Linked DNA regions of Nothobranchius furzeri. The protein of the gene in region 2 interacts with the protein of the main gene of each other region in a pairwise test. Links are inferred from orthologs where the notes say so. Each region holds a gene or a part of one and is shown on either strand. Other genes may lie near its edges. The genes, in order: sox14 and naif1.

The links.
Region 1: the proteins of naif1 (region 2) and sox14 interact in binary tests that used the Homo sapiens proteins (3 or more experiments, as listed by UniProt). The two-hybrid records come from large-scale screens. The link is inferred for Nothobranchius furzeri from reciprocal best matches to the Homo sapiens genes NAIF1 and SOX14.

Annotation. Positions count from the first base shown.
Region 1 is NC_091756.1:59,713,434-59,718,002, forward strand, and holds sox14 (transcription factor Sox-14), read right to left. Parts: upstream 3,053-4,569; 5' UTR 2,418-3,052; coding exon 1,701-2,417; 3' UTR 801-1,700; downstream 1-800. UniProt on the Homo sapiens protein: Acts as a negative regulator of transcription.
Region 2 is NC_091746.1:70,818,625-70,822,041, reverse strand, and holds the end of naif1 (nuclear apoptosis-inducing factor 1), read left to right. Parts: coding exon 1-27; intron 28-1,508; coding exon 1,509-2,050; 3' UTR 2,051-2,055; intron 2,056-2,601; 3' UTR 2,602-2,700; downstream 2,701-3,417. UniProt on the Homo sapiens protein: Induces apoptosis.

The DNA.
Region 1 (4,569 bases), on a different chromosome or scaffold from region 2:
TCTTGAATCGGGATGCTTCAGGGGGGTGATGCAAAACTTCACACGCGCTTCAGTGAGGTACCATCCTAATTTACAGCTCAGATAAGGACTGAGTGCCATAAAAATCTGTCGTACCCCCTCCCCCTCCCCTTCCAAGGACTGGATTGCACCCTGGGAATCAGCGCAGAAAGGGGACTTCTCCCCCCAATATGTTCTCGGCAGATAAGTAAACAATTTGAATGCGGAATGTATTATTTTTAATTAATACCACACAGTGAATGCGTGCGTAAAGACGCACGGGTCGACGCAAATCATTCTCCTTTTAACAAAAGAAGGGGGGAAAACGGAAAATGAACGTGTTGGATCAACGCAGAGATGCCGGTTCGATTCCTCCTCGTCCTGTTTAGGCAGGTGTAAAACATCAAACGTTTTGTCTGGAAACGGAGGCGCGCACGGATTTGTCTCTTAAAAGCGCCCGTCAGACGAAAAGTTGTTGCGCTGGAGAAAAAAAAATCCCATCATATTGAGTTTGTTCCATTAGTTCAACCTATAATTAAGCAGTTTCCAGAAGTGATTAAGCAGTCAGACGAGTCGGACGGGCGGAATCCCTCCAGGGAGGCCTCACAGCTGTCAAACATCAAAAACCGGTTCATCCCGGTGTCACGAAAACACCTTCAGCACGCTGCAGCGCCCAACACGCCCGAAACCCTGGTTCGGTAATAACACCACTCATTATCACAGGGACTAAGTAAAAAAAAAAAAAATAAATAAAAGATGGAAAGAAGGAGGTGATTAAAATGATCTGAGAGGAGACTTTCACCGCCAGGCCCAAGGGTTGGGTTTAATATTAATATTCAGCCTTTCCATCATCATTATGCTATTAGAATTTAGTGTTGGTTTACCTTCAAACACCTGAACTCAACACATACAGGAAGTTGATCTGGTTCAAGACAGATTGTCTTTATTCAAAATGTCTTTGCTCAGCACTTGAACAAAGAGCGGGAGGTGTCAACCTTCTAGATACATGACCCTTTCCAGAACATGACAGGTTTAAATCTGAGAAAACACAGAGAACATATCCTTAAAAAGAACAAAATAATAAAAATAAAATAAAATAAAAAAAGCTTTGAGAAATGAAGAAACGGTGCGTGGGACGGAACCACATAAAATACAGTCCAATTAGACGTTTTTCCCTCAGAGAACTGAAATAAAACGTGTGTTTTCCGCTTCATTTTGTTTTTATTTGTGATAAATATAAACAATAAAACCCGTATATAAAGCAGCCTATCAGTCCGGATTTTGACCCAGGTCATGATAAAATGGGGACTAGTTAGCAGGCTTATACAGGGATGTGCCAGCCAAATTTCTTTCTTTTTTTTTTCCAAAACAAAACAGCAGCCAATAATCAACACAAATCAGCATATCAGCATTGAAATGTACATAATAAATAAAGTTTAAGGCCTCCCTTTCTGGTTGCCATTATAACATTTACATTTCTTAAAGTTCTCTGCTCCTCGTCTTCTAGACCAAACTCCAGCTCCAAAACTTGAGTTTTTTTTTCTGAAAAGTTTCTCTTTCTCTCTCTTAGTTGATTTTTCTGCCAGATTAAGTCCGAGGCAGATTAACACTGTTCATGCCGTTAACGAGGCGCGCCGTCCGGTATCATATTTACATGCATTTCGGTTTTCAAGTGGATTAAAAACAGTAACGAGTCTTCGGGATTACATGGCAGCAGCGTGTGCGGATGAATAAGGGTCTATCCCAGTCTTGGTCATACCTGGAAAAAGTATGTAGGCCACCGGGGGCTGTAAACTGGACGCCGACCAGGCTGTGCAGTTACACGGGACCACGTAGCCCGGGTTCGTGGGGGACGGGTGGGTGTGGGTGTGCTGGCTGGGGCACCCAAGCGTCCCGAACGCACCGTTCTGGTATCCCAGCGAGGACGCGTACGGCAAAGTGCTGGTGCTCAACGTGTGGGGCATCTCCGTCATCTTCTGGATGGCGCTGGAGCTGAACTGGCTCGGGTCGAGGAACGAGTACGGGGCGGACGTCGGCGGCAGGAACGCCCGGGCTTTCTCCGATGAGCCCAGCAGAGAGTCCGCGGCCGAGACCGGCAGTCCCTTCAGGTGGTCGGTGTCCCCGAGGTAAGGCAGAGGGAAAACGTAGCGGTCCTTCTTCAGCAGGTTTTTGGGTTTGCGCCTGGGTCGGTACTTGTAGTCGGGGTGCTCCTTCATGTGCTGCGCCCGCAGCCTCTTGGCCTCGTCGATGTAGGGTCTCTTCTCAGACTCGGACAGCAGCTTCCACTCGGCGCCCAGCCGTTTGCTGATCTCCGAGTTGTGCATTTTGGGATTCTCCTGAGCCATTTTCCTCCTCTGGCCCCGGGACCAGACCATGAAGGCGTTCATGGGTCTCTTGATGTGATCAGCAGGCTTCGACATGTTTAATCTGCACTTTTATCCCCCTCCCAATGTCAGTGACAAGCAAAAGTTGCGATGAGAAGGAAGGAAGGAAGGAAGGGAAGTCGTTCACCTGTCTAAATGACAGAGAGCGGTCATGCCACGTCTGGATGCGTCTGAAAAACAGCAAAAAACGGAGAAAAATCCAGCACCCGGCTCGGTTCTTCCCGAGGAAAAAAGACAGATGCGCTCGCTGAGGTCCGCTTCCAACTCTGAATCAGACCGGCGGCGTGGATGAAACGAAAAACACGTGAAGAAAAATCCACAAAGGTGAAAGCAGCGTTCCGCGTTCAGATGGCAGGAGCCAGAAAGTGTCCAGCTTTTGAAATACGTATAATTTTTATTGTGACTCTTTAGGTGACTTTCTCTCTCTGTGAGGTTTGTTCTCAAGCACCTGGTTTGGAAATGAGCGGTAAGAGAGTGAATACGAGCCAAAAGCGGTGAAGTTCAAAGGCTGGGCTGGTTTGGTTTCTGCACGCAATCTGACATAATCTGCAGGGCGTTCACTCGCCAACCTGCGCGCCCAATCAGCACGGAGACCGGCTATTAGAGCCCCTCCGGGGGAAACTACAGGCTATGTACATTACAACATAAACAAAGACCGCACAAAAAAGAAAAGAAAGGAAAAGAAAACGAGAACAGGAGTGTGTGGGTGTGTGTGAGAGTGTAACAGAATCCCTCTTGATCCCTTTTAATGTCATTTACCTGACTGAACACGGAGTTAACCTCCAAACCAGACTTCAGCCTGGCTTAAGGATTTACTTAACAACTCGTTATTAAAACTTTTACGAGATGAAGCCCGTTAAAAATAATTACAATAAAATATACCTTTTACACTTTTTATTTTTGTTGTGCGTTTACTAAAATAATATTAATAATAGATGTGATGATAAAGAAAACCAGAAAACCTTTAAAAAACATCAATAAACAAAATAAAACATGTAATTTAAAGAAAATGTCACACATCAAACATCGTTTTGTTTTGTTTGGTGTTTTTTTTGGCACATCTTTGACAAATCTCAGAGTTCTAGCCATAAAAAGTAAATAACAATGGAGGCTTGAATAGAAAAGCCCGAGAGTGCGCACATACGCACAGCGCGCTGTCTCTTCAGGCCCGCACGTGCTGTGCACGTATCTCGATGGGGAACACCAAACCATGGGTCCCATCCATCTGATGGTGCGGAGGATCCCCCTTACTGGGACCAGTAACAGCCCGCAGGCTAAGACGCGTGATGTATGATTCAGTCACCTGTGATTATTAAACTAAAGGCAGACCGATTAGGACCCCCCCTCCCCCCCTCCTCCTCCCCCCCCCCCCCCCCCCCACACACACGCACACACACAGTGTGGATGGAGTTGGTTTGTGTCATCTTTAGTTCATGTTTACTCTGGCGTGCACGTCTCCACACAGTCCATTTCACGTTTAAAGAATGTTGATGATTCATCTGAGACATCGGACAAATATAAAATATTTGTCAGACATTTTCATTATTTCTTATGTTTACACACTTTTCTTTACAGTTCGTTTTTTTATCAAACCCTTTGATGCCATTTCAACATGAAATATGTCTCTTTTATAAGATAAATGCAAACAGTGAGTTTGCGTAATTCTGACATATTTGTTATTTGTTTTTGATGATTCTTAACAAACTTTTGTAATTTGTTTGCCCCCAAACACCATGCCGGGTTGACGGGTTTCGTCACTTTTATAGGATTTGAATACTAAAAATCAAGCATATTAGTTTGGCTGAATAGAAAAATAAATGTTAATTTAGTTTAAAATTATTGTTTAAAAAAACTAGTTCATTTTCTTTTGGGTGCCAACGTTACTTTTCATATTTCTGACATGTGAACCTCATTAGAGTGACATTTTAACACAACATCATTAGTTCTGATTGAAACTGAATTCTGAGTTTTGTGGACCTGTTGGGGGCGGGGCTAGCGCTGTTACCTGTGGCATCCGCTTCACGTTTCTCACGACCTCCACATCTCTCTCTCTCTCTCTCTCTCTCTCTCTCTCTCTCTCTCTCTCTCTCTCTCTCTCTCTCTCTCCCATTAGCTCACATGCGCATGCGCCAGTCGGAGGCCACTAACAAGATTTCCATCATATCTGTTTTTACAAAACCTCGAAAAC
Region 2 (3,417 bases):
TCTGCAACGACAACAAACCACTGACAGGTCAGTGTACCACCAGAACCTTGTTTGGTCTTTAGTTTACTGAGGAAGACACAAAGTTCTGGAGCAGCCGAGTAGAGGTAGACTGGTTTTTTGTTACCGATGCGTTAGACGTTGTTTACCTACTTTGATGCTAACGTGACATTAGCAGCAGCTGAACTCTGAAGTGTGATTTTAACGCCGGGCACAAAATTAAAATGTAACTAAAGTTGATTAAATTAATCACTTAACTGATCAAGTATCCAATATTCAACACTGGCTAATAAAAAATACATTTTTTGTTGAAAGTAAGTATTTATTATACAGATGTTATTCAGAAACATTCATATACATTAAATTTCTATTAAGTATTTATAGTTCCAAGTCAGGACCAGCGTCGTCTCTAGGACCTTCACACAGTAAACACTCCAACACAGGTCAGGTCATTAAGCCAGTCAATAACAAGTTTCCTATATAAGGAACCCAGCAGGTTGCATCGAGTCACTGACTAGTGTCCAAGTCTTTACAGCAATCATACTTAGCAAGCATGCAGCGACAGTGGAGAGGAAAAGTCCCTTTTAACAGGAAGAAACCTCCAGAGGATCCTGGCTCAGTATAAGCAGCACACACACAGTTTACATTGTGATTTCTTAGTAAATATTCTATTTGGTGAGAGATAAACTTTATTGTATTTATTCTAGTGAATCTATAATTAAACGGGTAAACTAGTAGTAGCACATTCTATGTCAAAGAGAGTAAAAAGTTATCAGGAGAGGGAGAATGTTTAAGTGGTTAGCAGCAGTGTGCTAGCCGATGGCCCCCTCCATGAGGCCACCACAGCTCAGCAGAACATCATTGTAGCTTCTTCTGGGGAGAAAAACACTTAGAGAAAAAATAAAGTTAACAGCTGAAATAGCAGGAAATAATACAGTTAAAGAGCAGATTGTAGAAGAAAGTAGTCGAGTGTGGAAAGTGGTCAGTGTGTCCTCCAGCAGTCTAAGCCTATAGCAGCATAACTACAGAGATAACTCTGGATAACCTAGCCTTTTAGATGGAGGCATGTTGGAGGCAGGGCAAGGGAGAGCCGTCTTTACCGACTGTACACTCCACCTCCCTCTACTCCCCCACTTGCCCAGATCTGGGCTAACATCAGATTTTAACCATAGGCCCTCAAATAAAAATGTTTTGAGCCTATTCTTAAAAGTAGACAAGGTGTCTGCCTCACGGACTGAAGCTGGGAGCTGGTTCTACAGGAGAGGAGCCTAACAGCTAAAAGATCTGCCTCCCATCCTATTTAAAAATTACTTCGTACAGCAGCCCAAGCATGTGCCTAATTTTTAAACAGGTAAAGTGACGGTAAGGAGGTAAATCGTCCCGATATATCGGTCTACCCCTGTGGTAGAGTTGAAAAAACTTTCACATACAATTATTTAAGAAAAATGAACGGTGAAATAAATCTAGTCAATAGAAACCTGTCTTCTCTGTCTGACCTGCCCTGTCTACAGCTGAAACCACCTTCCACACCCTGGAGGACGGAGGTGTGGTGGAGTACTGCACAACCAGCATGGGTGACCCCACCCCCACCGTGGTGACTGCTGTTGAAACTCCGATGGAAATGCTGGCCTCGTCCTCGTCCTCCCCGCCTCTGGTGCCGTCTCAGGTCAAACCCCAGGAGCTGAAGAGCCGGATCGCCCTGAACTCTGCCCGCCTGCTGCAGGAGCAGAGAGTCACCAACGTGCACGTGCGACAGATCGCCCAGCACCTGGAGGGTCAGAACGAGCTGCTGCAGATGATGCGGCGCTGTCAGGAGGTACAGGCGCTGGCCCAGGAACGCCAGGCCCAGGCTCTAGAGGGGACCCAGGCCGCTTTGCTCGCTTTGGTTCAGATGCTCAGACCGGCTCTGAAGGACCTGAGAAAGTTTCTGCAGAGTGGGTCAGAGGTGACAAACCCCAATGGTCCAGGATCAGGAGCAGTTGCTGATGGAGCTAGTACCGAGGAGCAGATACGACCCAAAACACCTTCACAGCAAACGGAGGAGACCCAGTGAGCCAGGTCTGTACACAAGACACTACAGGACCTGAACTCGAAGTCTTGAAGTTCTTATTCATGATGGTTCTGACAGACTGTTCAATACATTGTCATCATGACCGGAACATTAAGGTTCGCCCAGGAGAGACCGGGTCCAGAATCCATCAGGTCTCTGAATCAAGTCTGGGTCTAATCTGGTCTCAGGCTCTGATAGGGTCTCAGGGTCAGGTTTGAGTCTGATCGAGTCTCAGGTTCAGGTCTGGGTTCTGATCAGGTGTACGGGTCTGATCAGGTCTCTTGGTCAGGTCCAGGTCTGATCGGGATTCTTGGTCACATCGGGTCTCTTGGTCAGGTCTCTGTGTCTGATCGGGTCTCTGGATTCTGATCAGGTGTACAGTTCTGATCGGGTCTTTTGGTCAGGTCTGGGTCTGATCGGGTCTCTCGGTCAGGTCCGGGTCTGCTGTTCCACCAGCGGGGGTGCTGTGTGACCAGCTGATTTGAGAATCCTCTGATGGTCACCTGATACAGCAGACCGATAATGCGATCTTTTCTTTTCTCCTTCCTGTTTAGAGGCTGTTTTCTACTCGTTTGATTAAGCTTCAGCTTCACATCAACGATAAACCTGCTGTCGTTAAACTGCTTTTTAATAAAAGGAATTCATGAATCTGATGTTCTGGACTAAATGAATCATTCAGACTTCCTGAGGTTATAAAGATAAGATGCTGCAACCCCAGCAGTCCTGTCTCTAGTGTATTTACTATCCTGTGTTGACATTGTGTTTATGTATTTCAGAGACCTTTTAACACCTTCTCTTCCACTTCTTCATGCAGTTTCCACCTCTAAACCGCGATTTCTAGAACTTCCTACCACTAATAAAAAGTTAGCCATCTTCTCTGGTGTACAAACGAGGTGGGACTCGATTATAAAATAATCTAATTAGAGGCTTTGTAATTAATCTTGATTAATCACCCATTGACCCTTGAACACGATTTACCCTCAAGCAGTTCTTTTAATTAAAACTAGTGTTAGTGAGGCCCAGGTGATGGACGTCTGACTGAATGATGACATCCTTTAGAGAGTATATCTGTGTAAGATTACTTTGGTCTCATTACAAAGGTAACTACTGTGGGATTTGTTGGGATGTGTGGATATTATAGGCGTTACTGCTGACGTGTAAATGCACATGGAACATTTAGACTGTTGTGTTCAGAGCTGAACACTAGGTGGCAGCAGAGCACTGCTAACACAAAGCAGCTGAAGACACCTGTTCAGGCTTTGGTGGGACCTTCATCCCCACTCTCCTTATTCCACCTTTTCCAGGATCCACTGGTTTCCTTTTCTCTCGCCCTTTCCTTACATTATCATTATTTTAATCACAATTTCCTT